Macaca mulatta: one gene and its partner. The main gene of each other region encodes a partner of the protein of the gene in region 2 in a complex. Links are inferred from orthologs where the notes say so. Each region holds a gene or a part of one and is shown on either strand. Other genes may lie near its edges.

Region 1 (16,935 bases), about 6.0 Mb from region 2:
GCCCCAACTCTCTTCTGACTTGGAGAGTTTCTGCCGAGAGATGTGCTGTTAGTCTGATGGGCTTCCCTTTGTGGGTAACCCGACCTTTCTCTCTGGCTGCCCTTAAGATGTTTTCCTTCATTTCAACTTTGGTGAATCTGGCAATTATGTGTCTTGGAGTTGCTCTTCTCGAGGAGTATCTTTGTGGCATTCTCTGTATTTCCTGAATTTGAATGTTGGCCTGCCATACTAGGTTGGGGAAGTTCTCCTGGATGATATCCTGAAGAGTGTTTTCCAAGTTGGTTCCATTTTCCCCCTCACTTTCAGGCACCCCAATCAGACGTAGATTTGGTCTTGTTACATAATCCCATACTTCGTGCAGGCTTTGTTCATTTCTTTTTCTTCTTTTTTCTTTAGATTTCTCTTCTCGCTTCATTTCATTCATTTGATCCTCAATTGCTGATACTCTTTCTTCCAATTGATCGAGTCGGTTACTGAAGCTTGTGCATTTGTCACATATTTCTCGTGTCATGGTTTTCATCTCTGTCAGTTCGTTTATGGCCTTCTCTGCATTAATTATTCTAGTTATCAATTCTTCCACTCTTTTTTCAAGATTTTTAGTTTCTTTGTGCTGGGTACGTAATTCCTCCTTTAGCTCTGAGAAGTTGGATGGACTGAAGCCTTCTTCTCTCATCTCGTCAAAGTCATTCTCCATCCAGCTTTGATCCGTTGCTGGCAATGAGCTGCGTTCCTTTGCAAGGGGAGATGCACTCTGATTTTTTGAATTTCCAGCTTTTCTGCCCGGCTTTTTCCCCATCTTTGTGATTTTATCTGCCTCTGGTCTTTGATGATGGTGAGGTACTGATGGGATTTTGGTGTGAATGTCCTTCCTGTTTGTTAGTTTTCCTTCTGACAGTCAGGACCCTCAGCTGTAGGTCTGTTGGAGATTGCTTGAGGCCCACTCCAGACCCTGTTTGCGTGGGTATCAGCAGCAGAGGCTGCAGAAGATAGAATATTGCTGAACAGCGAGTGTACCTGTCTGATTCTTGCTTTGGAAGCTTCCTCTCAGGGGCGTACTCCACCGTGTGAGGTGTGGGGTGTCGGTCTGCCCCTAGTGGGGGATGTCTCCCAGTTAGGCTACTCAGGGGTCAGGGTCCCACTTGAGCAGGCAGTCTGTCCGTTCTCAGATCTCAACCTCCATGTTGGGAGATCCACTGCTCTCTTCAAACTGTCAGACAGAGTCGTTTGCGTCTGCAGAGGTTTCTGCTGCTTTTTGTTGTTGTTGTTGTTGTTTAGCTATGCCCTGTCCTCAGAGGTGGAGTCTACAGAGACAGGCAGGCCTCCTTGAGCTGCTGTGAGCTCCACCCCATTTGAGCTTCCCAGCGAGTTTGTTTACCTACTTAAGCCTCAGCAATGGCGGGCGCCCCTCCCCTAGTCTCGCTGCTGCCTTGCTGTTAGATCGCAGACTGCTGTGCTAGCAATGAGGAAGGCTCCGTGGGCGTGGGACCCGCCTGGCCAGGTGTGGGATATAATCTCCTGGTGTGCCCGTTTGCTAAGAACCTTGGTAAAGTGCAGTATTGGGGTGAGAGTTACCCGATTTTCCAGGTGCTGTGTGTCTCAGTTCCCCTGGCTAGGAAAAGGGATTCCCTTCCCCCTTGCGCTTTCCAGGTGAGGAGATGCCTCACCCTGCTTCAGCTCTTGCTGGTCGGGCTGCAGTCCCTGACCATCACTGATTATCCGGCATTCCCTAGTGAGATGAACCCGGTACCTCAGTTGATAATGCAGAAATCACCTGTCTTCTGTGTCGCTTGCACTGGCAGCTGGAGACTGGAGCTGTTCCTATTCGGCCATCTTGCTCCGTCCCCAATTTAAACATTTTCATAAGTTTAAAATTACTATAGTGTTTTTTAAGGAATTCAGAGGCATCAAACATTTATATATATTTTTTGATCTATGAGTGGCTTAACAACCACTTTGAAGTTGCATCAGTAGTTCTAGTACCACTGTAGATCAATTTACACTTTATATAGAACCACCTCTATTTGTGTAGATGCCTCTAACGTTTGCTTGTCAGTAGTAGCCTTTTGGGAGAGGACATCAAAAGAGGCCAATGCTGTTTATATTAAAAGTCATCAGAGCTCACTTTAGTTCTGTAATATATGTTAACACTTTCAAACTGTGTTGAAAAATCCATTGACGGTCAGTCTGCTAGATTAAGGATGTGAGGTGTTGTTAAAAAATACGTAATTAAGAGATAAGCCAAATTCAGAAACTCTGAACAACTTCCAGGAGCAGTCCCTATGAGCAAGCCAATCCAGTTTCACTTTGTGAATGAATAGTCACGATAACTAACTACTACTGAGCACCTGTTGTGTCCAGGCACATTTATATTATTTATCTCTCTTAAGCCTCCAATGTTGCTACGAAGTACACTTCTCGCATGGTGTCATGTACAAATACATCATTGACCTCCCTGTGTCACCTGGAGCCAAAGCTCATACCCAAACCATGGCTTTGCCCTAAGAACCTGTGCCTTTTCTCCACATTAAAAATAAAAATTAAAAATCTATATTTTATTGAAATATTCCCATAGACCCTCTTCTCCTTTACCTCCAAAATATTGAACAACACAGCAAAGTCATGGAACAAAATGTAACATGACAAACAAACTCTGAGACATTCGCTAGATCTTCCTGACGGTTTTGATTTTTTCATTTAAGATTGAGTGATTTTACAAATATCTTGGAGTATGGAGAAAATCCATTCAACTCTTCAAGTGTGTCTGAGACCTATGGATCCCACCTTGCCTCCGAGCCAGCTTGAGTAATTTGTAATCAGAAGATGCTTGAGTTCCATCATTTGCATTACTTACCTGTGTGGCCCGGGACAAAATAACCAAGTGATTTTCTTCTGAGTTTAATCTGAATGTCTTGTGTGCAGTAAACATAACCCTGAAGTACAGTATCTCAAGAATGAAAACCATAGTTCATACTTTGTTTCATGCCTTAACTTTTATTCCAAGGCTAAGAAGATTATCTGTACATTTTCTAATTATTTGGAGAATTTCTAGAATTTGTAGCAGAGTTTCATAGTTTTTATAAATGTCATGAAGACATTGCTTGAAAACTATATTTAGTTTTTTTCCTTCTCCCCACTGAAAGTCTTTTTATTCATCATCACCCAATACCTACCTGCTATATTAGGTTTTTTATAAACATGGCTAAAGCTTGGAAGATGGAGATTCTGGGTGTTTCAAAATTGTGATTTCCTCATTAATGGAGACATTTTGAGAGTCTGTTTCCCATGTCAAAGTAGGTATGGTTTTTAAATGATCATGCTGCTCTAACTTTGACAAACAAGTAGGATCATTCATCATTATGGTATACATGTGTTGTTACGGACTACATAATGTTTTAGTTGAAGTTTTATTTGCAAGCAATGTGTGTATGTGTGTGTGTGTGTGTGTATATATACATACATATATATATATACATACATATATATACACACACACCATGGTATATAACCCTATCTCCTCATATATGCATATGTATACTTATGAAATTAAATACCTGGCTGGGTGCGGTGGCTCACGCCTGTAATCCCAGCACTTTGAAAGGCCTAATTGGCGGATCACCTGAGGTTAGGAGTTCAAGACCAGCCTGGCCAACATGGCAACACCCCGTCTCTACTAAAAATACACAAATTAGCCAGGCATGGTGACACAAGCCTGTAGTCCCAGCTACTCGGAAGGCTTGAGGCAGGAGAATTGCTTGAACCCAGGAAGCGGAGGTTGCAGTGAGCAGAGATCTTGCCACTGCACTCCAGCCTGAGCAACAGAGCAAGTTCCCATCTAAAAAAAAAAAAAAAAAAGAAAAAGAAAAAACAAACAGAAAAGAAATGAAATACCTGACTGCAGTTCTAAATAAGACAAAATGCAGCTTTCAGTTCTCTGTTGATTTAATGCTTTGAGTAGCAAGAACATTGTAAATTTCATTGTTAGTGAGAAATAATGTAAATCATGCTTCAGATTGATTAACGTTTTTGACATTGTTCAGATATCAAATGCCATATGCCAGTTCAGGTATTTGGCACATGGGTCTGGCATCCAATTGCTTATTTCATTTACTTTTTTTCCCCCGGAAAAATTATGTACTTATTCATTCATATAAAACCTCCTTTCCCCCTCATTCCCTGCCTCTATCCCTCCCTTCTTCCCTCCCTCCCTCACTCCTTTCTTTCCTTCCTTCCTTTCCTGTCATTCTTTTGTTTCTGCTATCTGCCTATTTTCTTTTGTTTTAACTACTACAGGTTCTAGTACTTAAGGTACCAAGTTATTAGTAAGAAACCAAATTACTTTTTGTAATGATGCCATTCAAAAGAACAACTTTCACTTACTGTCTTGTGAGAGAGGGGAAAAGTACTATCCTTTTAATGCGAGAAAAGTTCAGTATAATGTATCACCAAATGTAAATGCAATAAAGAATGACATTGAACTCTATGTTATTTGCCATTTAGCTTAGCAGTACCAACATATTCCAGAAACTGAAATTTCTCGATTGCAGATAAAAAGAATAAACACAGGGAAATCTATGCCACACATTTATGAAACAAATATTGTTTTCTTGGTTTTCAATTTGCTTGCAGAAATAATTATTTTAATATTGTAGTTCACTATCCAGTATACGGTAGACATCCTCTACAGGAAAAACTAAACAAGATGATTACAAAGGAGCAGGGGCTGAACTTATTCAAAATGAACATGTGCACAACCTTAAGCATGCTCAAGTGTGTGCCAGGAAAACTACTACGAAGAATGAATGGATGTGGTGAAATCTGCATCATCAGTGATTGTTTCTGAGCTTGGGAAAGGAGTTGTTGCCTATTTGGATCCTCTGGCTGACCCCAGAAGAAGCTGCTCTGCTTCAACATGTCCAATGGAAATATTGTGAGAAAGTGGTTACACACTTACAATAATAGATACTACGCACTGAAATCATTCTCCTGTAATAGAACAGATGAACATGACAAGAAAAAGATTCCGCCAGCATCAGAGACTGTTCCAACGCTGGGTGACTTGATACGGAGAAAGGATTCATTCCCCTTCTCTCCTTACTGTTCCTTCCTCACCTAAATTATCACTTTATATTTACGATGAAGCCTGCAGTGTTTCTCCCAACTTTCAAAACTGTTTTGGGGGGCGTACCTCTTATGGAAAGTAATGGTGGTTTTCGTTTTCCAGCTTTTGGTTGGCACTATCTCCAAACAAACGCTAAAACACGGGTAAGTGGAACCTTCTGATCCTCTTGTATTTGTAAAGAACTTTAGTCAGTTCAAAATATATTGAGAAAATGAAAACCTATCTTTCAAGGAATACTGTTTTTCATCATTTTGCTAAGTGTTTAGAAAGAATACTTTATTGTCATGCCAATAAAAGTGAGTGAATTCGCATTTGCTTTGTCATCTTCCGGCAAGATTGGAAACGCCTGCGGCACAGGGAGAAGCAGCATGAGGAACGCTGAAGACATGGTGAGACGGCATGTGGAGTGGCCTTAGCACAGCAGAGGTAGATAAAGGTCAGAACAGACTCTTTCCTGGCCATTCACCTAGAGGTCATCTGAATAAAATCACCCTGTGAGCTCTTCCTCAGGAATCTCTTGCAGCCTCAATCCCTCTGCTTCTTGTCCGCCCAGCACCACTGGAATCTGCATTCCGCCACTGGTTAGGGATACCAAAGTGCTCATTTCTACAAGTGTTTCATAGTCAACGATTCCATGCAATTAATGTGTCTCCCCCGAGCCATTCACTTCCTCGGCTTGTGTCCCCAGAAAAGCACGATGTTTCCATAAATTAAAATATGCCTATGTGTATGTGTCTGTCCACATGTAATGTTTTTGCATTTGCAGAAAAAAAAAATTTTAAAAGAACAAAAACGGGGAGAATGTTGCATTTTTGGTGTTTTTTTTTTTTTTTGTATTTGCGCAGACCATTTTAGGATTTTCAGTCTCAACAAAACACTATTAAAACAAAGAATCTAGTAAAATATTGTGCATGTACTGCTAAACAATTCTAGCAATTTTATTAAGCAATACCTTTATTATTTTTGAATATTCTTAACAGACTGGAACAAAACATTTTTTTTCAAAACAAAATATGCATACTGTACGCATGTTGCAGGGTTAAGTATGATGCAGAGGTTAAAGTCTGTTTGAACAAAAACAAATGCCCAGGGAAATTTCATAGCTATAAAGTTAATAACTAAATTTTGTTCGCTAAGAGGACCTTTTCTATGGATTTCCTTCATCTCTCAGTCACACTGCAAACTTATCTGAAGTGCACTTCCCAAGTGTAGTTAGAGAATAGGAAGGAATGTAAAATGTTTTTTTTTAATTATTTGTTTTGTTTGTTTGTTTTTTAAAAACAGCCCTTATTAACTCTTCCTTCCACTGATTCTACTGTAAACTCATAAAAGCCTTTTATAGAAAGCAAATTCATATACACTCAGCAGGTGAAATGTTCCCACAAAGAAAAAAAAAATACAGAGTGATCAGACCTCTTTTCCTCAACTACCTAGAGCATGTTAGAGTGATAAAGTTTTTGCACATTAATAAAAATGGCTGAACTATTTATTTTTTTAAAAAGAAGTTGTTCCTCTGTGATAATGCAGAATTGCATACACTGTATACCTGGAATAATTTTAAACCATATGTTAGGGAAATACTGGAATAAAATTGTATATATTCTGTATATTGCAGGTGTTTGAGCATTTCTAGTGTCTCTTCCACAACAATAAGGGAGGAAAAGAAGTCCAGATATGTGTCCGCAATCCCTTTGTTCCCTGTAATTACAATGGCCAAAATGTGCTCGTATATTACTGCAACAGAACTGAAATCACAATGAAAGCCCACCTCCATTGTCAAAGGAAAAAACTTCCTCACTCCCTGCATCCTGATTCTAGATAGCTGCTCCTGTCCAACTGGACCAGCAAGAAAGGGCTGGGCCACTTGGGGATGGGAACTGGAGCAATACAGTTCATGATAGTGTTTTTTTTTAATTTTTTTCCTTTTATTTAGTTTTCAACATAAAAATGTGTTAACTGTCTGATTCCACCTATTATGGAGAGCACTTGTTTGTTCAGCTAAAAAGGAACTCCTGCCAGGCCCCCTTGGCTCCGCTCTGGTTTGGGTTTGTGCAACAGGGGCTCAGAGGCCCACCAAGTGTGCACACCCGTTCACTGTGGTTACACAGACAGAAGCAAGCGGATGTTGTTTGCTTAGGGGACGAGAAGAGGGCGAGGGAAAGGAAAGGCCGGGAAGGGTATTGGTTCTGTGGGTAGAAGGGAGACTTAGGGATTTTTTTTATTTTTATTTTTTGTTGTTTTCTTTTTTTTGTCTTTTTTATTTTTTATTCTTTTTTTGTTGTTGTTTTTTGCTATACCATGAGGTCATAGCAATCATTCCTCTAATAGAAACTGACAGGACATAAAGACAGAACTATCTGATGAACACACACAATGACTAGAAATATAGAGAGATAGAGACAGTGAAAAGACTTAGTTTACCTCTGAGAAACCATCCCCCAAAATAAATCCTGCATTAACAAGTGCAAAAAATAAACAAACAAATAAACCCAAACCAAAACGAAAGCAAATAAAACCTCCAAACATTAAAACACAGTGTATAAAATGGTGTGAGAAATTTAAAGTCACTTTCCAGCCTTTTAGTCAATAAAAAGCTGTGGTTGTGTCCTTGTTTGGATTCAGGCCCATCTGTTTAAATTTTACCCTAAAGGCCTTGCAATAAGTAATTCGAGGGTAAAAGCACCCAGTTTCTGTTACATGAGACAGCAGTTGCCATTTTTCATGGCGGGCCAGCTGCTGCTGTGGTGACACTCGTCCTTCCGTTACTCCTCATTAGTTGAGTTTTCTTCCAGCGTGTTGATGCCTCCAAAGCTCAGTCCGGCTGTATTCTGTGCTGCCGAGGCTGTGAGCACTGTGTGTAAGAGAATCAGTACAAGAACACACAGCTTGAGTCTGCTGTTGCACAGTCTTGTTGCTGATGACACTGTGAGCGATGTCCTGTGACAGGAGTCACTTTTCTCTACGGTCCCTTTGGATGGGTTATTTGATTTTTCTTCTCTCCTGACGTCACAGCATTCTGGTTCATCATTGGTTAGAAAGGTTTCATAAAGCCCTGTAGGAAGAAGGAAGCAGAGTGTCAGCAGGAAGGAAATATATTTGCGACATAGTAGAGTGAAGCTGTTGCTTTAACATTCTAACCCACACAACCTTACAGGCAATTAGACTTTTTTTAAAGGAAAATCAAGTCAATACAATTGGATAAAGAGTCACCCATGTTCTCAAACCAGTATTGTTAGATTCCTCAAGTTGTTCTTTTATATTCCTGCCAGTCATACCATGAAAGTTCTGGGTTGTTGGGAATACAGAATAGAAGATTTCATTAAGTCAAAGTCAGAACTTGAGGTTCTGGATCAACCTGGAGATCAAGTACATGCAACCATCCTTTCTTCTTTAACAGGAATGTGACCAATTTATGCAATGCATAAACTGACATTAGCTAGTTATGCTGAGTGAAATAAGCAACAGATCATCATGTCATAGCTCTAGGAACCATGTTATCATCGTTTCCTCTCAGAAGCCTCATCAAGTCTTCTCTCTCCCTGTCTGGGAGAATGGGCAAAACCATCTATGTGTCCAATGGTGATCGGGTCATTTTGATTTATTTTCTAAACATTTCTCTTATTTTTCTCCATCTTCTCCATTTGCTTTCTATAGAAGTCTGCCTGAATTGAGGCTTCCTTATCTTTTGCTTGGACCATCACGAAGGAGTCTCTCTGCTGTTCGTCTTCTCATTTGATCTGTCCTCCAATTGTGCCTATCAGGAATTGTCTGTCTCTGCTTCTCTTGTTCTCTCTTCACTTTATTCCTCCTTGCTGAAACTCTTCCTTCCCTTTTTCTCTTCTTCCTCTGATAACACACATTGTTATTTTAAAATTGACAGATGCACATTTTAAAACTTTGGAAGTAGTGAAAAGAATAAAACCACGGTGTATCTACAATCTTTCCAATCCTTTACCTTGCTGTATTACATAGAATATTTTTATGCAAGCTGTATAAATCATTGTGTATTTTTTTTTTCTACTTGACTGAACCATTTATTCGTGGGTGTTAGAATGAACTTTCTAGACAAATTTTGTCATATTAATGTCATGCTTGAAAAACAAAAATGGGGATAATAGTAGAGTAGTTGTAAGGATTACATGAGATTTTTCATGTAATATGCTTGGTTCAGTGGCTAGCACATAGAAATAACATGAAAATTTGGGCTACTGTGAATAACAATAGTTATCAATGGTATCTCATTGCTTCAACCTAAACAATAAAATCTAAAGGTCTCTCCTCTCTCTCCAGGCTCACTGCTCAATGTTCCCACATTCCTGAAGCACTGGCTCGTCCCAGAGCACCCAAGCCTGTATCACTAGCCAAGTCACTGTTTTTTTCTAAAATGTCCTCCATCAATTCCTCTACATACTTCTCATTTATCTTCCAAATGTAGTTCAAGTGAAACTCCCTGTATGAAGCTTGTACTCATACCCCTGGGCTATTAGCATTTTGCTTAACCCTTAATTATAGCAATTATTGTTATTTTTCTTTTAATCACAATTGCTCATTTTAATTTCAATTTTCTTATCTGTCAATTTAAAAGCATAAACTATACATTCTTAGTTTTGCATTCTCATGTAGCAGAACGCCTGAACAAAATACTTAATGAGCATTTATTACATGAATAAACTCAGTATACCTATTTATTTAATTAAAAAGAATCTCAAATAATATACATTCAATCTTCGGTTTCTTTTAAAGAAATGAACAAGATATCCTTATAATGATGCTTACAATATTCATTTCTTCTTAGGCATTCAAAGGTAAACTTCACCTTCGCCTAGGTAGAATATAAAAAAAAAAAACTGAATTAATGAGGTCTTCAGCTCTGACATTTTTATTGTATGATATTTTCTTTTTTCATATAAGATATCTCAGTGGTAGACTAATCATTTATTGAAATATACGTTTCCAATACTACATACTATAACAAAAGGAGTTTACAATAAGATTATAAAAATAGAAATCTAGAAGTCCTTTAGATCAACATTTTAGAATGCTAATAATCAGAATATATTTAACAACGTTATGTAAATAAGAAGCTCTTCCAAAGTTGCTCAGAAACTGGTTTGCTGATTTACAACTAAAGTCATCGCAGAAAAAAAATAGAAGCACTTCATTCAGGCCAATAAATGAACCCTTCTTTTTGTCTGGCACAATTAATATTCTTTCTTTTTTCTCTCCTGTCCATCTTTTTAACAAGTTTTTACTCAAACTTATGAATAACACATCTATATTAAGATAAAATAATTCCAGAGTATTTTATAAAATAACAAAAAATCCTCCACCTCCCACATCTCAAATTCTTCTTTCTCAAAGGCAAATATTTCCATATCTTTCAGCTGCTTTGTATTTAGCTCCTTTTCTGAGAATAACATGTTTTATGCTCTTCTTGATTTTTCATTTTTTAGCATTATCTGTAGATTCCCCTCAGGAAATGTGGAGATAAAACATTTATTCTCCTCCTCCTTCCAGCAAATATGCTTCCCACCAAACCCTCACCCATTCCTCCATAAATAGTAACTTTGATACCTGCTGTTGCCTTTACAGTATTAGGATGACATAAATGTAATTCTTAGTTCAACCATGTAGTAAAGTCCAATTTTCTATCCCTGTACCGCTTCATTTTTTTTCTACAGATAATACTTGTCTTGTTATGTTCCCTTTTCTAACTAATTCAACCCAAATGCATTGCCAGTTTTTTCATTTGCATCAGGTGTTCTATCAGTTCTTTTCTGAAGAAATATCTCTTGGAGCCTCCCACCGTCTGGACTGGTTGCCATCATGCCTGATGAGTTTCTACCGCTCTGTGCATTGCAGTGCTGGATCCCCTGTTCCCTGTATCCTGTGCCTCATCCCCTTCTTTCTCCTTTTGGGGGTTTACAACCTCTAATGCCTTCAGTAGGAAAAGCTCATGAGGTGAATTTCCAAGATGCCATATGCCTTAAAATGTGTTTATTCTACCTCACATTTAATTGATTATTTGGCTGGGTATGGAATTCTAATTTAGAAATGATCATTCTTCAGATTTATTCAATCACTGGTCCTACGTTTGGCTGTTGGACCTTCAGAACTTGTCCTTTAATTTTCTTACCTCTGCTGTTAATATTTCATATTACTTCATCCCTTAACTCTAGTTTCAGGAGAATTTGGTGAGTTTTCACGGGACATAATTTCACTGAATTTTGCTTTTTTCCCTGGGACTAAGTTCCAAGAGTTCCTTCGTGTTATCTGAATGTTGCTTTTTGAAGCAACTGTTCTTATTTTGTGGTGACCATGTTGATGTTTTTTTCACTCTGAGATATCTGAGATATTTGGGGTACCCTTATTTGTTGTGTTTCATTCCATCTCTGAATAAATTCCCTCCATTTTCTCTGTGTTGCCACCTTTTGTGTTTGTTTGTCTCTTGTTCTTCTCATGGAAACACCATGCATTTCTAGTTGTCTGCACAAAATGAAAAGGACAGGAAGTCTGGGCACCTAAGGAGGACTGTGGCCGGTGAGCCGCACTGTGAGATGACATGCCTGAACGGTTAGGATGGAGAAACTTTTTTATTTTATTTTATTTTATTTTTTGAGATGGAGTCTCTCTCTGTCGCCACGCTAGAATGCAGTGGCGCCATCTTGGCTCACTGCAACTTCCGCCTCCCGGGTTCAAGTGATTCTCCTGCCTCAGCATCCGGAGTAGGTGGGACCACAGGCTCCCACCAATATGCCTGGCTAATTTTTTTGTATTTTTAGTAGAGATAGGGTTTCACCATGTTGGCCAGGATGGTCTAGATCTCTTGACCTGGTGATCTACCGCCTTGGCCTCCCAAAGTGCTGGGATTACAGGCGGGTGCCACCGTGCCTGGCCAGCATGGAGAAACTTTTAAAATTCTGTCTTTAGGTTGATCAGACTCCCCAGAAAAGTCTATCCAATATCCATCCAGGAAGCAGAAGGCCAGGGAGCAGGAGGGAGCAGCAAGATGGGGCTGGGGGAGTCTCAGCTTCAGGGTGGGGGTGTGCATTGGATCCTGGTGGTCAGGGTGGTCCCCTGCCCTGAACTCCTCCTACTGTTGCTCATACCAACAACCTTTTCTATGTCACCTCAAAAAGAAAAAGTTTCCTCCAGAAAGAAATATGCCCCCAGTCTCTGGGATGGGAATACGGAATGGGATTTGGGGACCTGACTGCCTCTTAAAACTGACTTCCACTCAGTCTTCCTTATTTTGCCTTTTCTTCCATTGTATCTCGTGTTGTCAATCCCTGAGTCTGGATGTAAATCGGACTGACTCTGTTTCCTCTCTGTTGCTTCATATTACTTTTCCTAAGTTTCAGCAAATCTGTTAGTATGCATCGACTTTCTAATTTCTAAGAGGTTTTAATTATTATCTCCTTACCTATTCTTCGATTCTTTTGGATTTAAGCCATAAAACAATCTTTTTGGTTGGGACTGCCTAGAAAATTTTCCAGCTCTTTTTTCTACATCATTCTTCTCTGCCTTGAATTCTGACAGATGCCTTTTTCTCTGTCAAATGCATTTCTGAGTACGCAAGGACATGCAGCCTTCTAAGGCCATTATTTCTTTGACTTACATAGAGTCACTGGGTCACTTAAGCAGATCAATGACCTCCTTGGGACCTGGGGGCACAGACTCCTCCTGTTCGGAGTGCTATCTACAGAGGGTTTCACCCTGCATGCCTCCCAGACACTGCCGTTGGTTGAAGTCAGCAGCCTTGACCTATTTCTCAGGCCCTGGGCAGCCTCCAAACAAGGGAGGGGTCCCAAGGCTGTGCCCACTTGACTGAAGTCAAGACATCTCTCAAGGGCCATCCCAGCTTCAGATTTTTTCCCTCTACCAAATTTCTCCTTCTTCACCCCATCATAGGTAGCATGCCTGAGAGTTCTCCTCCAAAAACCACCTGCACACAGATAACCTGCTGGGGCAAATCTCCTAGGAAATTTTCCACCTACCTACAGAAACGACTTTTTCCTCAGCATTGAAGAAACTATAAAAACATATTTCCAAGTAAAAATAATTTCTCAAACAAGAACCTCCTTGCACAAACAAGTACAATTGCACAAATTAGCATTAGGAAAAAACAAAAGCAAATTTTCTGGGTGGTGAAATGTTCTGATACATTTTGCTTATAAGCTGTTCTATTTGAAATCTCTAGTGAATCAGTTTGACATTACAGTACCAACCTCACAGAGATTTTTTCTTTTTGAGAATTAAATAATACACATAAATTGTTTAGAACAGTGCATGGCAGGTAAGAAAATCTCACATAATATTAATGACTCATGTTGTAAGTAGAGATAAATAGTAAAATCAGAATTTATTATCAGGGGAATTCCTACCTAGAGGAATCAGACAAGAGAAAGAAGGGCATCCAGTTTGACTTATTGGAAAAGAATAAGTCAAATTATTCTTTGTTGCAGATGATATGATTTTGTTTTTAAATTTATTTAAATTTATTTTTATTTTTCTTATATTAATTATCATCCAGCCCCAAATGTCACAATTTTATATATGGGAAAAACTAAAAACTCCACCAAAAAACTGCTAGAACTAATAAACAAATTCAGTAAAGTTACAGGATACAAAATTGACATACAAAATTCAGTAACATTTCTATATGTCATCAGTGAACAATCTGAAAAAGAAATCAAGAAAGCAATGCCATGTATGATAGCTACAAATAAAATACCTACGAATTAACCAAAAAAGTGAAAGATCTCTACAGTAAAAACTATGCAACACTGATGAAAGAAATTAAAGAGGACACAAAAAAATGGAAAGATATTCCATGTTCATGGATTGGAAGAATCAGTATTGTTAAAATGTCCATGCTACCCAAAGCAAGCTACAGATTCAATGCAATCCCTGTAAAAAATATTAGGTTGGTGCAACAGTAATTGCAGTAATACCAATAATGTTCTTCACAGAAATAAAACAAATAATTCTAATATTTATATGGAAACACAAAAGGCCCAGAATAGCCAAAGTTATCTTTAGCAAAAGGAACAAAACTAGAGGAATAACATTATCTGACTTCAAATTGTACTGCAGAGGTACAGTAACCAAAATAGCATGATATTAACATAAAAACAGACACATAGACCAATGGAACAGAATAGAGAACCCAGAAACAAATCCATACATCTACAGTGTAGTCATTTTTGACAAAGGTGGCAAGTACATAAGTTGGGGGAAAGGACAGTCTCTTAAATAAATGGTGCCAGGAAAACTAGATATCCATATGCAGAAGAATGAAACTAGACTCCTATTTCTTGCCATATACGAAAATGAAATCAAAGTGATTTAAAGACTTAAGGGGCCAGGTGCTGTGGCTCACACCTGTAACCCTAGCACTTTGGGAGTCACAGGCAGATGGATCACTTGAGGCCAGGAGTGTCAGACCACCCTGGCCAACATGGTGAAACCTCATCTCTACTAAAAATGCAAAAATTAGCTGGGCATGGTGGCACAAGCTTGTAATCCCAGCTACTGGGGAGGCTGAGGCAGGAGAACCGCTTGAACCCAGGAGGCAGAGGTTGTAGTGAGTCGAGATTGTGCCACTGCACTCCAGCCTGGGCAACAGAGCAAGACTGTCTCAAAAAAAAAAAAAAAAAAATGACTTAAAGACTTAAATCTAAGATCTCAAACTATGAAATTACTAAAAGAAAACACTGGGGAAAGTCTCCAGGATGTTGCTCTAGTCAGCAATTTCTTGAGTAATACCCTGCAAGCACAGGCAACCAAAGCAAAAATGGACAAATGGGATCATACCAAGTTAAAACGTTTCTGCATGGCAAAGAAAATAATCAACAAAATGAAGAGACAGCCCGCAGAATGGAAGAACAGATTTGAAAAATACTCATTTGGAAAGGGCTTAATAAGCAGAATATATAAGGGGCTGAGACAATTCCATAGGAAAAAATCTAATAATTCAATTTAAAAATTGGCAAAAGATCTGAATAGACATTTCTCAAAAGTAGACATACAAAAGGCAAAGAGGTATATAAAAAAGTGCTCAACACAGTTGATCATCAGAGGAATGCAAATCAAAGCTGCAGTGAAATATCATCTCACCACAGTTAAAATGGCTTTTACCCAAAAGACAGGCAATAACAAATGCTGGTGAGGTTGTGGGGAAAAGGGAACACTGTTCATGGGAATGAAAAGTAGTACAGTCCCTATGGAGAAAAGTATGGAGGTTCCTCAGAAAACTAAAAATAGGCCAGGCACTGTGGCTAACGCCTGTAATCCCAGCAGTTTAGGAGGTCAAGGTGGGTGGATCACGAGGTCAGGAGATTGAGACCACCCTGGTTAACACAGAAAAACCCCTTCTCTACTAAAAATACAAAAAAAAAAAAAAAAAAAAAAAAAAGCCGGACGTACTGGCGGGCACCTGTAGTCCCAGCTACTCGGGAGGCTGAGGCAGGAGAATGGCGTGAACCCGGAGCTTGCAGTGAGCCGAGATCGCGCCACAGCACTCCAGCCTGGGCGACAGAGCGAGACTCCGTCTCAAAAAAAAAAAAAAAAGGGAGATCCTGGTCATTTACAACACAGATGGAACTGGAGGTCATTATGTTAAGTGAAATTAGCCAAGCACAGAAAGACAAACTTTGTATGTTCTTGCCTATTTGTGAGAGCTAAAAAATTAAAACGAACTCATGGAGATAAAAAATAGAATAATGGTTACTATAGGCTGGGAAGGGTAGTGGGGGGTTGGTAGTGGGATGGCTAATGGGTGCAAAAATATAGTTAGATAGAATGAATAAGATCTAGTATTTGTTAGTACAACAGGGTAATTACAGTCAACAATGATGTATTGTACAGTTTAATCTGACTAAAAGAGTATAATTGGATTGTTTGTAACATAAAGAATCAATGCTTCAGGGGGCGGGTACCCCATTTACCCTGATGTGATTACACATCGCATGCCTGTATCAAGATATATCAATAATGTTACAACTATTATGTACCCACAAAAATTAAAAATGTTTTGAAAATTAAAAAAATATCACAGCAGAAAAGTATTTTCTAAGTTCCGGAGGCTGGAAGTCTGAGATCCAGGTGTGGGCAGGGCTATGCTCCCTCTGGGGCTCAAGGGGAGGATCCTTCCTGGGCCCTTCCCAGTCACTGTTAGCTGCCAGCCGTCCCTAGAGCTTCTTGGCTGTCAGGCATCACTCTAACTGCTGCTTCTGTCCCCACGTGGCCTTTCCTGTGTGTCTCGGTGTCTTTGCAGTTCTTATAAGACACCAGCATATTGGATCCCAGGCCCACTGCAATCTAGTATGGTCTCATTTCAACTTAATAAATTACATTTACAAAGACCCTATTTTCAAATAAGCTCATATTTTAAGGATACCCCATTTAGCCTGATGAGATTATTATCCATTGTATGCCTGTATCAAAATATCTCCTGTACCCCATAGATATATACACCTACTATGTATACACCAAACTTAAAAATTAAAAATAAAATAAAATATAGAAAAGAATTTATTAGGAGGGGCTTTAAAGATCCTCTATTTTATTATTTTTATTTTCCAACTAGTCAAAGCCACTTACCAAAAAGTCCTTATTTTTCACAGCTCAAAACAATTACTCAAGTATAGTCATTACGAATACTAATTAAGCACAAGAAAGTCAATAAAGTTCCTTTATTCTAAGGAGATCTTAAGGAATCTAAGGAATAAATATTTTCCTTATATCTAAGGAATAAATATTTTCTAAGGAAATCCTTAGAATAAAACATGGCATTATTTAAGTACGATCTTTAT
Region 2 (16,458 bases):
TGCACTTAAAACCTTCTGACTTATATATTTACCTGTTTATTTTCTGCTTCCCCAATAGACCATGAGCACCATGATATTAGAGCATCCATCTGTAGACTCACAGAGCAAGAAGCATGACTGCCCCAATCTTGAATGGATGAGTAAGTAAGTGAACTACCTGCTGATTCATTCATCGGACAATAGCCGATCTCAGGCAATTACAGCGTGTCTTGTGTTATTCAGACTTTCCATTGATAAATTACTATAGGCAGAGTTCAGACAGCTCTTCCTAATTAGAGAATAACCTGTCTTTTGGAAAGCTACTTTGTTTGTTTTTCCGTCTGTGAATTGAATTCTCAGAGGATCATCATAGGAAAGGAGATCTCTCTGGTGTAACTTTTGTACTGAATCTGCACTGGACGTTGCTGAGCTCTGTCCCAATGGAAGAAGAATGTCCCAGGAATGAGGAAGCGTGCAGCATGTTCAGGCTGGGTGTGACTTCTGTTCAGGAATGTAGGGGCTGCAATAAGAAGATAGTGTATCAGAAATGAGAGTTGGCACAGATGAAAGCTCTGTTGGAAAGGGTTGGAAGAGAGGGAGCACCTGTGTTTGAAGCCAAGGAGGAAGGAGGGCACATAGAATGGTTCACGCTGGAGAGAAGGAGAGAGACTGAAAGCACTTTTCTGCCTACAGAATTGTTTTTTTAATAGGAAGCCATGACCTTGAGCATGGTTGGAGAGAAGTCTGGGGACTATTGAGGTGCTTAGATGATATGGAAAAGATACTGCGAGACCTGGAACCAGCTAGGTCAGAGATAGGGAGTGAATAGGTGTCAATGGTGATGGACCATAATTCTGTCCAGGAAAAATTGTCATTATTTATGATAAGTCCTCATTCCAGACCACTGTGGTCAGTAGATAAAGGGAGAATGTGTGTCTTTCTAGGTAACTTTTGTTTCTTTTTGCCTTAGTTAATTCTCTTCTTCCAACACCTCTATTCTTCTTCTTCATCCCATCCCCACAATAAAATCTGAGCAGTTTGATGCCCATATCTCAAAACGCAATCCTAAAGTCAAAGAGAGAAGGGGTGTTCCATAGGGGGATAGCTGTAAAGAGAAGGTGAGTCTGGAGGCGCCATCCCTCTCCCATCAACTATAAAACTCCACCTAGTAAACTCCCAACTTGTAAATTCCATTCAGCTTGCAAGATCCAGGAGTAGTAGTAGTACTCCCAAGCAATTATAATGTAAAAGATTAACAAGTGATCCAGGGAACTGAGTCAAACAAAAAAGGTAAGTTAAATAAAAGTTATAAGGCCTGTGGGAGAAAGCTAGCAAAGAAAGGGTCCTCTGGAATTAGGTCCAGAAAATGGTCAGGGTGTTTCTGTGGGTACTGGTTGAAGAAAAGATGAACAGAGGGCAGTGTTGTTTGGAAGAGCAAGTCATTGGTGCAAGATGAATGAGGCCGGTGTGGTGGGGTCCTGCAGCCCCTTTCATCTCAGTAAGTCCCTGTCACATCTCCATCTTCCTTCCATGTCCTGTGCTGCTATAGAAGTTCAACTTCGAGGTTGGAGAACTAGAACCACAGTTCTCTTGGAGAGCTGGGGTATTGTAAACATTCACCCTGCATCTGTCTCTCTCTCCTCAATTCCATTTTGCACATTGCTCCCGGTGTGCTCCTCCTAAAGCCTGTGTCTTGCATTATTACTATAATCTTCCTCCCTCCCCACCTCTACAGACTCCCCTTTTCTACTGAGCACTGTCCACATGAAGTGTAGGGCATTCAAGGTTCTTCGTGCCCTTGACCAAGTCTCCAGTCTTGCCTTTGCACACCTGTTCAGAAGATTTGGAATTCATTGAATAGAGTCAACTGACGCTCTCCTTGATAATTTTCCTTTTATTATTCCAGGCATCATTCTGTCTGCTGCTTCCCCATCTCTGACAATTTAAATCCAATTATTCTTTCTTTAATACTTAATTCAAATGGCACCACCACTCCAAAAGCCTCCTCTGATCACCACTCCACCTTCCTATGGCAGATTTAACAATTACCTTATATCATGGGGACCCGTAATAGTGGGTGAGAAGAGACCATATGAGTGGCGTTTTCATCTTCACCTCAACTTCAACCAGGGCTGCCTGGCTTTTGGCTGGTTAAAATTTTGGGATCTGTTGAAGGACTTTGAGAAACAGTTCCACTGCTTACCAATATATTGAAAATCACTCATGTATAGAATGCCACTTCCTACAAAGAAACAGGCAAACACAAAACACATCATTCCACTGGCTTAAAGCTGCTTTCCTGTAAGGCTTTATAATGCTGGTTTTTCTTCTACGTGCCCTTATCTCATCATCTTGGCCAAGGCACAGCCAGCTGATGGATGTTGATCTGGAAGCACCATTAAGAATAGAGTGAATAGCATCAGCCCTTCCATTCTGTCCATCCTTGTTCCCTTTGAATCCCCCTGAATTGCCATAAGGGCCACACGTGTGTGGCTTGCTCTCTCAGGGGCTCTGAGTCAAGTATTCCACCCCATACGCTTTCTGGTGCCTTTGGAACCGACAGCGTCCTCTAATTAAAGGCAGTGGGTGGTGTGATGACAGGATTAGTATCAGTGTCTGGCTTCCCTAAGGACCAGGGAACACTGTGGCCCAAGTTTTCCCATCTGTGTAACGGGATTGTTCATATGTTTGCGTATCTAGGGGTAAAATCTAAAAGGGGGTGGCGCTTACTTTCTCTGGCTTGCATCTGCTCTGTTTCGGGAAAATTGTGGTGAGGAGCCCCACAGGAAGTGTGTGACTGTTTTGCTTCATTGAAAATATAGAGTGCTATGGCTTTAAATACATTGGTATTCTGCCCCTGGCTTCACTGCAGAATGAACAACAATGATGTTCTGCTGAACATCAATTCCAGACGTTTTAGGAAGGGCTCAGCAGTTTCGTGAGAATGAAGCTGTATTTCTCAAGTGTAATGAGCCAAAAACATCTTGTTTTTATGCAGCACTAGTACAGACCCATGCCCTGGACCTGTAAATGCCTTTTCCGTTCATTGTAGGCTTGGAAGGCGCAGGGTATTCGCTCAGCCTTATCAGCACAAATGTAAAAGGAACATTCTGGCTCAGAGAACTGAGTTGAAATGGATATCAGGGACACAGCTTTTGCCAACTAATTATGGACTGAATGTTCAATCCAGGGTTTGCAATGTGCTGCTACCGAGTGCCTGCCCCGCCAAGAAGAGGGTTTAAAAATGGTCAACTCAGCATAAATTATTTTACAAATCCAATATTTATTTTATCTTGTATGTACAAAAAGTAAACTCCAAGTGAACATCAAATCAAATCTAATCCTTTTGGCCACATGGACTGGTTGTTCTTTATCTCATAGTTACAATGAATCATATAAACTCTAGCCTGCCATCACCATGACACATCTGTGACACAGAAGGAATGTGCTATTTGCCTGTCTGAGGAATGTTAAATAGAGAAAAATAGATCATAAAGCAACCTGGAGGTCAGAGGGTTCTGAGATAATCCCTCTGCTAAAACACATCTGAACAGCAAATGTCCAGTCTGTAATAAAATAGTTAAAGGTCTGAGTCCACTACTACTTGGCCAACCCAGCACAAGAAATCTAACAGCACTTTGTAATCATTTGGCTTTTCTAATTTTCCCAGAGGACATGGGCCACTGACATATAAGGAAAAAAAAAAAAAAACAAAAAAACAAAAACGAAAAATGATTAAGTTGTGTGATCCCTAACCTGTGAGTTCAGAGGAAGATTTTGCAGGGCACCATTATTTCCATAGGAGATTCTGGTAACAGAGATGTCATTTCAAATGTAACATAGCAATGGTGTGTTAGGAGCAACCCATAATGAAATGACTCAGCTGATTTGTGGCAAAACAGACATACCTTGGGTAAGAAATGAAACCAACAATAACATCACACATGCAAAGATTTTTTAAAAATAAATTGAGCTATACAGTTTTATTCTTTTTGCTAAACTGAGTTATTAAAAGGCTTCTTAAGAAACTTAACATCTTTGCACAACTGTGTCACTCAGGTGATCTATCTACAGGTTTGTTATAAACCAGTAAGCATCCTGAGTCCATTTCTTTGCCTGGTGCTTGCATACGCAGTTTTCTCGGAAGGAGGCAACAGTTTCATTAGCATAACTGAGGAGAGAAATCAACTTGTTCTGGTCGCCAAATGTCTTGTGTATATTTTAAAATATAATGTGAGGAAAAGAAGAATCTGTAGTTTGTAAAACTACTATCATTTTAGCATAAGTTTAGCGCTGACCTTTTCAGATCAATCATAAATAATAAATTCTCTCAAGAGAAATATTTCTAGCGGAAATGGGAAAGATGTGAACTAAAGCTATAACCCCTGTACCCTAAATATCAGCCACTTTGGGCTTAGCACTCTTTTGGGGGGTGGTGATAATACTGCATTAGAGTACATATGAATATATACCTTAGTTTACACAGACAGAATATATGACAGTTTTGAGTGATATACATTTGCTTGCTGTATCGTTTCTAATATTATCAGTACAGTCAGTATACAAAATTTTTTTGAGCAATGATAGTGACCTATCATACATGCAGCTTATGCCTTTCTGTGGCAGGATGAACATCAATTTATAAAAATCTTGTGACAAGTTGGAATTCAGCTATAGATCAATTACAGATTGCTCACTGGACAATCAAGGAAATTACTAGAAAACAATTTTCACCACTAGAAATTCATCCACATTGACATTCACCTAAATATCCAGAAGGTCATCCCCACTTTCGTCGCTCTCCACAGTCAGCTGCCGGGTCCACCACTTCTTAACTTCAGAACCGCAGGAAGCCGCGTCAGTCATGGGGTTCATTTTGCACACGACAGATTTCATGGTTGTCCTCCCTCCAAACCGTAAGTTGACTGAGGACACTGAATGGCTTATTGGTTTTGGTGCTGTGGAATTAATGAGTCCTATGAGCCACTTGGTAGTGCTCCACCCTATTGTACTCATTCCTAAAAACCCATGATATTCCCATCAGTGATACTTTTGGCTAACAGGTTCTATCCACAGACGCTAAGTAAACATCCTTTTCAGGACTTGATTCTTTATGTTCACGATAGATTTTTTTTTTTTTTAAATTATGCTCATGGACAACTCATGATGCCACTTGGGGGAAAAAAAGTGCCGTTCACCCCCTTTCATTTTGAAATAATTACAAAAACTAGAAAATGGCTAAAAATTCCAATTTGGGAACTCTTAAGTGTCATAGAAACCTGTGCATTCGTTAGCATATGCAATAAAGAAAAAAACAAAAAGGAAGGAGACTGTGACCCACAGTGAAGGCGAGGAGGGATGCAGTGAGGGCACAGGAGGAAAGGTGTGGTTCTGGGGCCTCACAGTCATGGTCTTGGGACCCACCTCTGTAACCTGTGGATATGTAACTATGGGCAACTTCATCTCTCTGAATCCAAGTTTCCTCCATTGTAAGATGAAGACAATGAAAATGTCCTAATTACACTATTGTCAGGATTAAAACAGGTTACATGAGATGACTTAAGAAAGTGCATAGCATGACACCTGGTGACATTGTTGCTGCCCCCTCAAAATACTATTTTTCTTCCCCTCTGCCTCCCCAAACTCAGCCTGACCCCAAGATCATGTCTATTTCATGATCACAGTTTTTGGTGGGGACCACCTAGGCATGGACCAGTGGAAGTTTTGTTTTTTTGGTTTTTTTTTTTTTTTTTTTTTGAGACAGGTTCTCTCTCTCTCTCTCTCTCACCCAGACTGGAGTGCAGTGGCACAATCTTGGTTCACCACAACCTCTGCCTCCCAGGCTCAAGCGATTCTCCTGCCTCAGCCTCCCAAGTAGCTAGGATTACAGGTACGCACCACTACTGGTCAGGTCAGCTAATTTTTGTATTTTTAGTAGAGACAGGGTTTCACCATGTTGGCCAGGCTGGTCTTGAACTCCAGACCTCAAATGATCCACCTGCCTCGGCCTCCCAAAGTGCTGGGATCACAGGGGTGAACCACTGCGCCCGGCCCAATGGAAGTACTTTTGACAGCATCATTTCTTTTGTCCATTTAAATGAATACCAAGGACTGTGCATTCTCCCCAGGTCACCTCTCCTATCTGTCCCTGCAGCATCTGGCCCCCAGCTCTGTCCATGCCCTTGTTGCCTCATGCTCACACAGTGGTAACTTCCTCCAGCTTGTAACCTGCCTCCAGGCTCTGCTGTGGACAATTCGTCCTTTGGTGCCAAGTCAACGTCCTAAAGCATAGATTCCAAAAATCACATATGCTCAGAGATCTTTGCTAGGTCCTAATTGCCTCCAGGATAAAACTGAACCTAGTCAGCTTGTAGTTGAAGGCTTTTTTTGACCTGGTACCACCATCTGCTTTGTCTTGATGCTGTCATTCTCTGCTGTGTTTGAATCAGGAGGAACCTACATCTTCTCTGATCTCTGAAAAATAAATTCTTGAATATGAAAGGGGATACTTTCCTTGGTGGTAGTCCCAGTGAAGATCCACGGAACATCGTCAGCCTCAAAATGTAAGCTGTGCTGTCATCCGCTTTGTGGAACACATATGCTACACAACTAACTTCGATTGGGCTGACGTTGGGGCACAGCTAAAGATCATTATAAGCTCCTGCTTTAGCATGAAGTTAGTTATCTATAGAGAAAAACATGTACAAGGACACTGGGCTGTGGGGAACACTGCTCTCCCTCCATTCCTGAGTGCTTTTAATGGGATTATCCTGGCTGTCCAAAACCCTATACAGAAGAAGCTCATAGAAGAAAATTCTCTGACTGAATCAGTAAAATATGGAAAATAATGGGTTTATTAAAGGAAAGGATTGAATGAGAGAACACAAGTAATGCACTTAGGAGAGTGACTGGCATACAGTGAGTACCACATGTTTTTTGTTGTTTTGTTACTGTACGGAGGTAAAGCAGCTTGCCTAAAGCCAGTGACCAGCTCAGCTGCAAAGTGTTCTGAGACAAATAGGGGGCCTGTCCCTTTTTGGAGAACTTGGTGGCATTTTCTGAATGAGTGCATCTGCCCACTCCCTCTTCAATTAAATACATTTTGCCCATGTTTGGGCATGCCTTGAGGCACACAGAAAGCCCTTGGAAATCTCTCCCTCTTTCTGAATCTTGGCTTTTTCATAGGTGCTGGCTTCTCAACCACGATAGCCTGAAATGTACCCAGAAAATGGGGGCTAATGTAAGTCATATTTAGAGAAGTTATTTTTGGGGGCAGTGTTTTTGACAAGACTACATTTTTCATTATGTTGCTGTCTGTAAACAACTGTAGATGCAGACGTGCATTTTGAAAGGCAAGACCCAAAACACACAAACAGAGTAAATACCTCTCAAATGCCTCGATCGCTGGAGAAATGCCTGGATGTACCCACCTGAGGGCAGACGCCACTGCCCAAACTTCCTCTGGGGTTTCCCTGCGTCGGCGGCATCTTGCCGACTTCCTCCTCGATCTGACAGTGTGGGGCTCAGGAGCTGCTGCTGGCTGCTTGTCTGCATGGGAGGAGAAGCATGCAGTTACTGTCTTTCTCAACCCTGTGCTCTCCTCCTTTTACTATAAGAAAGGAAAACACATGGCAGGAGGACAAGCGGGAAGAACAACATGGACTCAGAATGTCCATAATGGGGAAAAGGGAACACGGGTATAAAGGGTCACAGAAGCAAAAGAGCTACCACTGCACGTCGTGCTGAAGGGGACACCGCTCTTCCCAGGAAACCCCCACTGCCTCAGTCCCCTCCGTGCCTGAGAATGTCATTGTTTCCCTTCATATCTTTGCTGGCAAATCAGGGGGCAAGGACGGGACACTGAAGGAAGGAAGGTGGGGCCGTGGGGACCGGCTGGACAGGGGAAGTCTACTTTCACCAGCCTGGAGATCCACACTTAGAGCCTCAGGGAAAGAGTTCTCTTCAGGCAAAGCTGTATGATGGGCCCTGGCGGAGGATGGAGCCGGTAACAATCTAAGCTAAAGTCAAAGAGAGATGCCAAGACATCCCACACATTTCACCCGTTCTCGGGTTCACCTGTCACCTCTCCCTTTTCTAAAAGCCTTGGTCTTCACATCTCTTTGATATCCCCTCTTGGATTTTTGTGTGTGTGTGTTTGTGTGTGTGTGTGTGTGTGTGTGTGTGTGTGTGTGTGACCTCTTAGGCTTTTTCATCTAAAAACAGAGGCCTCTACAATCGTCACTTTCCCCGGCCTCATTGGCCCTGTCTCACTGTCTTTCCTGACCTCAGCCTGCCTCCCTCCCCCATGCGAGACATTGCCAACCATCTTCAGGGTGACCAGTGGCAAGACCACTGTAGATGCCTCACCTTGCCCCTTGGTTGACTAACTCTACAGAAATCCCTGCAGTCGGTGGCAGATAATTTCTAAAGGCTGGGGAGCCCAAAACATGAAATCTACTGAAAACTGGGCTATGGCACCAGTGGGCCTCCTGGAGCACCCTGCTGGGCCATGGAGCCTTAGGCTTCCAAAGGTACTCCCGGCCCCTGGCTGCAGTGCTGCACTTCACGGAGCCTGGTGCTCTTGGGGCTCTGCACAGAGTACAGGATCAGCTCCACGTTGTTAACCTCAAATTGTAACTGCTGCCTCATAAAGGGGCAGGTCCTCCCAGGCAGCTGCTTCTCACAGCACAGGACTCTCCAGGACACTGATAACTCCCTCTACTTTTTAAAATAGACACATACATCAAGTTTGAAAATGAAAATATGCCGTGACCTAATAAATAAAAACTCCGCAAGCCAACTGTCCTGAATTCCATATGTTCTTCTGATACCCAACCAAGAAAGGATACATCTTCAATGAGTCTGATTAAGGAGGTTGAAAGCCAATTACAAACATTTTCACTGATTCTACCACAAATTTCTATGACTTTAGTGAGGACAGGAAAACATTTAGGGCAGAGTTTCATGTAAACCATACTCCATGTAATATTTCCAGATTAAAATGCAGCCCTTAGATCTGATGTTCACTCTTTAGACAAAAATAAAACTACAGAATTACAAAGTTCAGGGCATTAGCTGTTTTTTGGCATTCATATGAATCAGAATATTTTTAAATAACCTCAACTACATCCAAGATGGCAAAGACACAGACGTAATCTGGATCAATGGATTTCCATTGTCTTTTTTTTTTTTAATGAAAATATTCCTATTAGAAATATTGTCACCTTGTTTGAATGATGTGACCAGCACCCATTTTATTTATTTTTATTAAAAGAAAGAAGCCCACGGAGTGTCCTGGGATGGAGGACGCCTCGTGCCCATACCTCGGGTTGCATGCTGTTGTCCTGACTGTTGGCATTCGTGTCTTCACTGGGCTGGGTGGTCTCAATGCTGGGCGGGTTCAGAAACCGGCTGAGCTCTTGCTGCTGACTCTCTCTCAGGCTGTGGATGATACTGCATGACTGCTGCTGTTTCTATGGAAATGCGATTGTTTGTTTAGTAAAATAAACCCAGCATCGCACCTGCCCCACCGCCACACAAATCATATTTTCTTCTCCCCTCTCCTAAGACCCGCATGATTGGTGACCTCTTAGGAATTTCCAGGTAAAGATCCTGAACTAATTTCAACGTTCAATTAAGGTAGGCTGATGCAAAAGTGGGCTTAGAGAGGTATGTGTTGACTTCTCAGTCCATTTTCATTTGTGTAACAATAGGAATAGTGACGGTCATTGATGCTTGTGTTTTATTTATGTTTGTTTTTTGTTGTTGGTGTTTTCTGTTTTTTTGTTGTTTTTTTGAGATGGGATCTATGTCTACTATGTCCCATAGACTAGAGTTCAGTGGTGTGATTATTATAGCTCACTGTAACCTTAAACTCCTAGGCTCAAGCTATGCTCCTGCCTCAGCCTTCTGAGAAGCTGAGACTAAAAGTGTGCATGACTGTGGCCGGCTAATTAATTAATTATTTTTTTCCCAGAGAGGAGGTCTCACTCTGTTGCCCCAGCTAGTCTCAAACTTCTGGTCTTAAGCCATCCTCCTGCCTCAGTCTCCCGATGTGCTGGGATTACAGGCATGAGATACTGCCCAGCTTGTATCTTATTTAAAATTACTAATGTAGCTATTCTATTTTTTCTCCTCTTATTTTATTCTAGGCTCATTAAGCCAATACAACCCCAACCCCTTTCCCACTTTCCTGCAAATTGTAAGAGGCAAAGTGCCTCGGGTGGATGAGAAAACCTTCGTGCTTGTCTTGGTTCTGAAGTTTCCAGGCCGATCCAGGAGACCAATCTGTCTTGGCATATACAAAAGCCAGGGCTCCTTGTGCCCTCTCAGAGCTAGAGGAGGACAGATTGATCCCTGGAGCTAACATAGCTACAGTGGCCAGCAGTGACGGGACATCACTGGGAAGCTGGCCTTGCTATAGGAGGTTGAGTTGTATCTTTTCTCTGGGAACCTTTTCTCTTCCAATAGAAATACATGTTTCTGCAATTGATGTTGCTCTGAGGAAGAAGATTGAAACAATCGCTGTTACATATAAATGTTTAGTGATTGCTTTGCGTTTTTTTACCCGTCCGTGAAACATGCCAAAAGCATTCATAAAGGTAATTATCTCATAGAGACATTCACTGTAAACAAAGTATATGCCAACGCAGTATACATTCATTAATTTATGAGTTAGAGAATCTTATAGGCTTATAACTCAGGAAGCAGGAAACATCATTAATCTTGAGAGGTGGTCTTTTCAGAATAAACAACATTATCACAGTTTGTTGAAATTTTTAGCAGCAATTTAAAGTAGTTTTGCAAATTCAACGTGGAAAATTCTAGAATTTTGTACAGTGGAGTTTAATAAATGGACATCATATTTTAATATTAATAAACTTTTTTTTTTTTTGAGACGGAGTTTCACTGTGTCACCCAGGCTAGAGTGCAGTGGCACGATCTCCGCTCACTGCAACTTCTGCCTCCCAGGTTCAAGTGATTCTCATGCCTCAGCCTCCTGAGTAGTAGGGATTACAGGCATGTGTGCCATGCCCGGTTAATTTTTGTATTTTTAGTAGAGATGGGATTTCGCCATGTTGGCAGGTTGGTCTCCAACTCCTGGCCTCAAGTGAGTTGAGCTCCCCCCTTGACCTCCCAAAGTACTGGGATTACAGGTATGAGCCACTGCGCCTGGCCAATAAACTGCTTTTTAAGTGTTCATGTCATATTATAAAAATGGGATTCCATGGAAACTCCTAATGGACTCTGCTACAGAGGGCAGGGCTGACTGTGGACCAGAGTGAAAGTCTGCATCAAGATCTGACCACTGTAAGTGGAGGTAGTGGACATAGTTTAAAGGGATAGAAGGCCGATCACAGAAGGAGCTAATCCCATGTTCATGAAGCTCTTTTCTTTTGTCCTCCTACTTCCGGGCGGGGCAGGGCGGGGACCCAACCTGCATGTGTGCAGTTAGTTCACTTACGGCTCTGATGCGCTTCAGGCACTTCTTGAGCCACATGCGGATGGTCTGCTTGGCCACCTCCTCCTCTATGGTGTACTCCAGCTGCTCCCTCGCCAGGAGCTCCTCCAGCTGCAAGCTCTTCCGGATGTCCACGGACCGGTATGAAAGCATGCTGGTGGGGGGAACACACCCGCAATCGCAGCTCTGATTTACCTGAGATTTACACCTTTAGATATGTCAAAATCCAGAGAGGACATCACTCCGTCTAACAAGTCTAGCGTTTGATGCCACCCCTCACCACCCATGTGTCTTGGGCGGGTCCTGTCACCTCTCTGTGTCTCATAAAGATAGTCCTGGTAACTTCTTTATTTAATGACTAAGTAAGTTAATATCTGTGAGGCTCTTATAGCAGTGCCATCTAAGTACCTGTAAAACAAAAGATCCAGGCTAGGTAAAGACTCAGGACTTTCTCTGCAGAAGGGAGACTGTGCCTCGAATACTTTCTTCACACTTAACCCCACGTGGTGATGGTTAATATGCTTGGCTGTGCATCACACCTTCCTACCCACTGCATTCCATTTCCCTCTCTGTTTATCTCATTCATCCTTCTGTATCTTCCTTATTAATTTTTTTTTTTTTTTTGAGATGGAGCTTCGCTCTTGTTGCCCAGGCTGGAGTGTAAAGTGCGATCTCAGCTCGCTGCAACCTCCGCCTCCTGGATTCAAGCATTTCTCCTGCCTCAGCCTCCCAAGTAGCTGGGATTACAGGTATGTGCCACCACGCCCAGCTAATTTTGTATTTTTAGTAGAGATAAGGTTTCACCATGTTGGTCAGATTGGTCTTACACTCCTGACCTCAAATGATCCGCCTGCCTCAGCCTCCCAAAGAGCTGGGACTACAGGTGTGAGCCACCACACCTGGCCTTCTTTATTGATTTTAGAGGCTACAAAACAAACCCAGGGTTGAATATCCACTCCCTTTTAACCCTCGACACACAACAGGCCCATGCAGTGGTAGATGAAGCCAACACAGCAGATGTTTTGCATCGCGGGTCACGGGGCAGTAAGGCAGCTCCCAGGATGCCTGGACTGAGCAGTCCACCACCACAGGAGAAGACAGGCCCTCTTGGCAGTGTGATGCACCCAGGTGTAACCACAGGATTCCAGGTTATGGTTCAGACCTATGCACCCTGGTGCACCTGTGCGCTACCCGCTTCTGTGAGCTCATTTCTACCCTAGAGCCCAAAGCACAGCATGGAGGCTCTTGAGAGCACTGGTACAGTGGACTTCTGTTCTTTGCTGAATCTCTTCCCACCACAGAGGGAACAAAATGAATTTTCTCTTCCCTGACTCATCAAGAATCTCATCAAAGCTTCACTGCTTTTATCTTCACTGTTTTTATCATATACTGGGCTAGGGGAATAAATAGGAAGGGGAGAAACAGCCCCACCATTGATTTTGCCTGGGTCTATTTTTATTAGATACACCAGTGTGTTCCAAAGAGGCTGAATATTAACTATTAATGACCACAGTATGCCTATCTGCCTCATGTCAACCTAAAAAAATTTGTCACTAGGAGGAGACTCAGAAACATTCTGACAGAGATGACATCCTCTGTGATTCATATGCATTTCTCCGTCCCATCTTTTTCTGCTTTTTAGCTTGTTCGTGGAAGAACTGAATAGTGGGAGGTGAAATTGATAACTCGTGAGAACTTTTCCCAGATTCTTCCTGTGATGATCTGATCTTTTTTTTTTTTCTAGCTTCTGGCCACAAGCATATTTCTGTACACCTGAGTTCTCCTGAAATTTGAGACACAACACAGTACCCCACGCACTACTGGTAGGTACTGCTATGTGATTAAAATAGCTACTGCTAGTCAATCGCTCTTATTTTTTCTGTGGCACGGGCCCCTGTGGCAGTGCAGCTTATGGGACATTTCTTAAAATAATGCTTTAGATGCACAGAATGAAATATACAGTATTACAAAGGAAACCAATTATATTAAAATACAATTCTCAAATTACTTTAAAACAGCAGTGATATAGTAACATAAGTGCTTCTTTATTATTCCATTAAATAATACCATCTAGCAGAGCTCAAATGACTACCCTAACTCAGAAGCACTGGTGAGCATAAATGATATTGTAAGATGTCAGCCAAGGCAGTCAGTTATGTAACCTGAAAATATCTATGATTTCTCCTGGTAACAAAGACATGGATATTACTAATGTGACTGTGGTTTGTTGCCTACATTCATCATGGAAGAGAATGCCGCATTTCAAAGACCGACTAGTGAAAATAAAGATGTAATTGTTTCCCTTTGCAAGTCCATGGGCCTCTGTTTTATCCATGGACTCCTGCTTAAGAAGCTGTTATGGGTTAAATGTTTCCTCCCAAAGAAAGAAGTGTTGGAGTCCTAACCTCTAGTACCTCAGAATGTAATGTTATTTGGAAAAAGAATATTGCAGATGTAATTAGTAATTAAGTTAAAATGAGATCACAGTGGAGTAGGATGGACTCCTAATGTAATATGACAGATGTTCTTATAAAAGGAGAAATTTGAATATAGATACATACACACACACACACAGAATGCCATGTGAAGATGAAGGGAGACCAGGCTGATGCTTCAACAAGCCAAGCAATGCCCAACATTGGCAGCACACCCCCCGCAGCCAGGGGAGAGGCTGGGCCAGATTCTCCCTCACAGGCCTCAGAAGGAACTAGCCCTGCAATACCTCCATCTCGGGCTTCCAGCATCCAGGACTTCGAGACCATACCTTTCTGTTGTTTAAGCCCCTCAGCTTAAGGTACCAAGTTACAGTAGCCCAAGGAAACAAATACAGAAGTCTCCCAGGGAGAAGAAAAGGCAGAGACTCCATTTGACCCTCTGTCCTGTCTGGGTGCTCATGAAATGTGTGGAAAATCTGGTGTTTTAGCCAATGGGGCAACCATCACAGAGCAGGTCAGGCGAATTCTTATCAGACCTGTGCAAGTGAGGCACTCTACGTGTTAGTCCCAGCTTTGCCAGAGCCCTGTAACCACAAGCAAGTCATTCAGCTCTTCCGGGCAGCTCCCACATCATAGGGAAGGGGTGGGACTGTGCTCTCCCAGATCCCTTCAACCTCTTCCCTCAGGGAGCACCTCCGTGGGCAGGGGCCCCTGTGGGACGTCAGGGCATGGCTGCCCAGCCCTCCCCTGCGAGGCACCTACTTGGAAATGATCACTGGAGGGCAGCGGGAAAGGGCACTTAGCACCTGGGACATGTGACCCCGCTTCACGACCACAGCAGATGTGGCATTTGGGTTGGAAACACACTGCAGAGGCCTTGAAGGCTGACGGCTGTAGTTTCTGGCCCCGTTCAGCCCTGCAAAAGCCTGCCTTGTACCTCAGGACGTCGTGGAAGGTGACGTCGCCACCGTTGTGGAGCCTCTCCATTTCGTAGCACATGTGCTTAAACAGGAGCTTGTCCTTGTCCAGGTCCACCTCCAGCCTCCCACGCAGCAGCCGCAGCAGGAACTTGACACGGAATGTGGGGATCACCCCCTGTGTGGCAGAGCACAAGCAGCAGCAAATCATCATCAGGCCTCAGTGATGCACTTGGGTTTCTCAAAAAAAAAAAAAAAAAAAAAAAAAAAAAGGTGCTATTTCTCAAAAGCTAGCATAATTAGCACCAGATGTGAAGAAAGCTGGTCACCTCCTTGGAGCCTGGTGGAATTAAGTGCACTGAGAAGAGCAGAGGATGGAAAACTGAGTGATAAATTTCTCTCTCTGGGATGCCACCACATTGCAGCATTTGGAGTGAGGCATGGGAAGCTCCCCCTCAGCCCCCCAGGACACTGCTGTTGCCCTCACCAGGCTGATGCTCATGTGGCCTGTCTCACGGACTCTGCCTCCAATGCATGCACTGAGTGGGTCATAATGCACTCACACAAGGTAATGGACAAGACACAGACATGTAATCCTCCTCTTCACTCAATCTGGATGCTAGGAATGTCTCAATGTTTATTGGAAGTTTTCCTACCACTAAAAGATAACTTGTGGTGGATCATGCCTGTAATCTCAGCATGAGGTGGGTGGACCACCTGAGGTCAGGAGTTCGAGATCAGCCTGGCCAACATGGTGAAACCTAGTCTCTACTAAAAATACAAAAATTACCCAGATGCAGTGGTGCGTGCCTATAGTCCCAGCTACTCGGGAGGCTGAGGCTGGAGAATCACTCGAACCCAGGAGTCAGAGGTTGCAGTTAGCCGAGATTGTACCACTGCACTCCAGCCTGGGGACAGAGTGGGACTCCATCTCAAAAAGAAAAAAAAAAAAGAGATAACTCCTTTTCATGTCTTCTTCAGGATTAGAAAAACTATATACAAGAGAATTTGGCCCCCAGCTCTGCCCTCTTCTGGGTCAGAACTGATCCAGACACTGAGAATCTAAGATGTGTTGCTACCTCCCACGCAACACAAACCACCATGCCCCCCTGGCTGGATCTTTGAATGAAAGTGCTGGGCAGAACACTAGTGAGCATGAGTGCCTGCCAGTTACTGACATCTCAGTGTGCAGGGTAGTGTGTTCTTCATGTGTGTATTACATTAAAGCAGGGTGACAGTTATGGAGAGACAGGTGGGTCCTGAGGAGCTGAGAGCGAGGTCAGATCCCCTGCACGCAGGGCACACACTATCTTGAAAGCCCTTGAGACTGGAGCCTGGGTGGGCGGGGGTACCAAGAAGAGGGATAAAATCGGGGTGAGGGCACTGACAGGGCCCCTCATTTATGACGCCCATGCTGGCTCCTTGGTCTTTGTGCCCTTCATCAACTCTTCTTGAACTATTTCCAGATCTCTCTTCCAAATACTCTGGCAGAACCTTCCTTGTGTTGTTCAGACATAATGTCCCACAGCACCCCTCAGGCCTCCTTCATGGCCATTCCTGCCGGTGCAGCCCAACCCCAACTACTGTCTATAGTTTTAACTTCTGGAAATACTGCTACTAATTATTATTTCACTTTTTATTATTTGTCTCCACCTATTAGAATGTA

Evidence for each region.
Region 1: the proteins of NALCN (region 2) and NALF1 are in contact, whole or in part, in a cryo-EM structure (PDB 7CM3), measured with the Homo sapiens proteins. The link is inferred for Macaca mulatta from reciprocal best matches to the Homo sapiens genes NALCN and NALF1. Residues at the interface, in NP_001337678.1 of Homo sapiens: Cys207, Val209, Asn220, Leu222, Ala223, Ile224, Pro225, Thr227, Tyr237, Pro240, Phe243, Tyr406, Glu409, Phe909, Ala1044, Lys1045, Asn1047, Pro1049, Arg1054, Ile1060, Arg1062, Ile1063, Asn1064, Val1065, Ser1066, Lys1069, Lys1080, Lys1081, Gly1083, Phe1084; in NP_001073865.1 of Homo sapiens: Lys278, Glu281, Phe282, Val285, His287, Lys288, Tyr289, Leu290, Gln291, Glu294, Tyr295, Ser296, Val297, Lys298, Ser299, Tyr308, Trp311, Leu312, Gln315, Leu335, Gln338, Thr339, Cys341, Phe343, Ile344, Leu345, Pro346, Asp347, Asn348, Asp349.

The regions. Positions count from the first base shown.
Region 1 is NC_133422.1:101,702,566-101,719,500, forward strand, and holds the end of NALF1 (NALCN channel auxiliary factor 1), read right to left. Parts: intron 8,172-16,935; coding exon 7,882-8,171; 3' UTR 6,056-7,881; downstream 1-6,055. UniProt on the Homo sapiens protein: Auxillary component of the NALCN sodium channel complex, a channel that regulates the resting membrane potential and controls neuronal excitability.
Region 2 is NC_133422.1:95,724,729-95,741,186, forward strand, and holds the end of NALCN (sodium leak channel NALCN), read right to left. Parts: intron 14,971-16,458; coding exon 14,813-14,970; intron 13,264-14,812; exon of another isoform or gene 13,185-13,263; intron 12,190-13,184; exon of another isoform or gene 12,068-12,189; intron 11,595-12,067; coding exon 11,444-11,594; intron 9,453-11,443; coding exon 9,303-9,452; intron 7,528-9,302; coding exon 7,410-7,527; intron 4,938-7,409; coding exon 4,744-4,937; 3' UTR 3,246-4,743; downstream 1-3,245. UniProt on the Homo sapiens protein: Voltage-gated ion channel responsible for the resting Na(+) permeability that controls neuronal excitability. NALCN channel functions as a multi-protein complex, which consists at least of NALCN, NALF1, UNC79 and UNC80.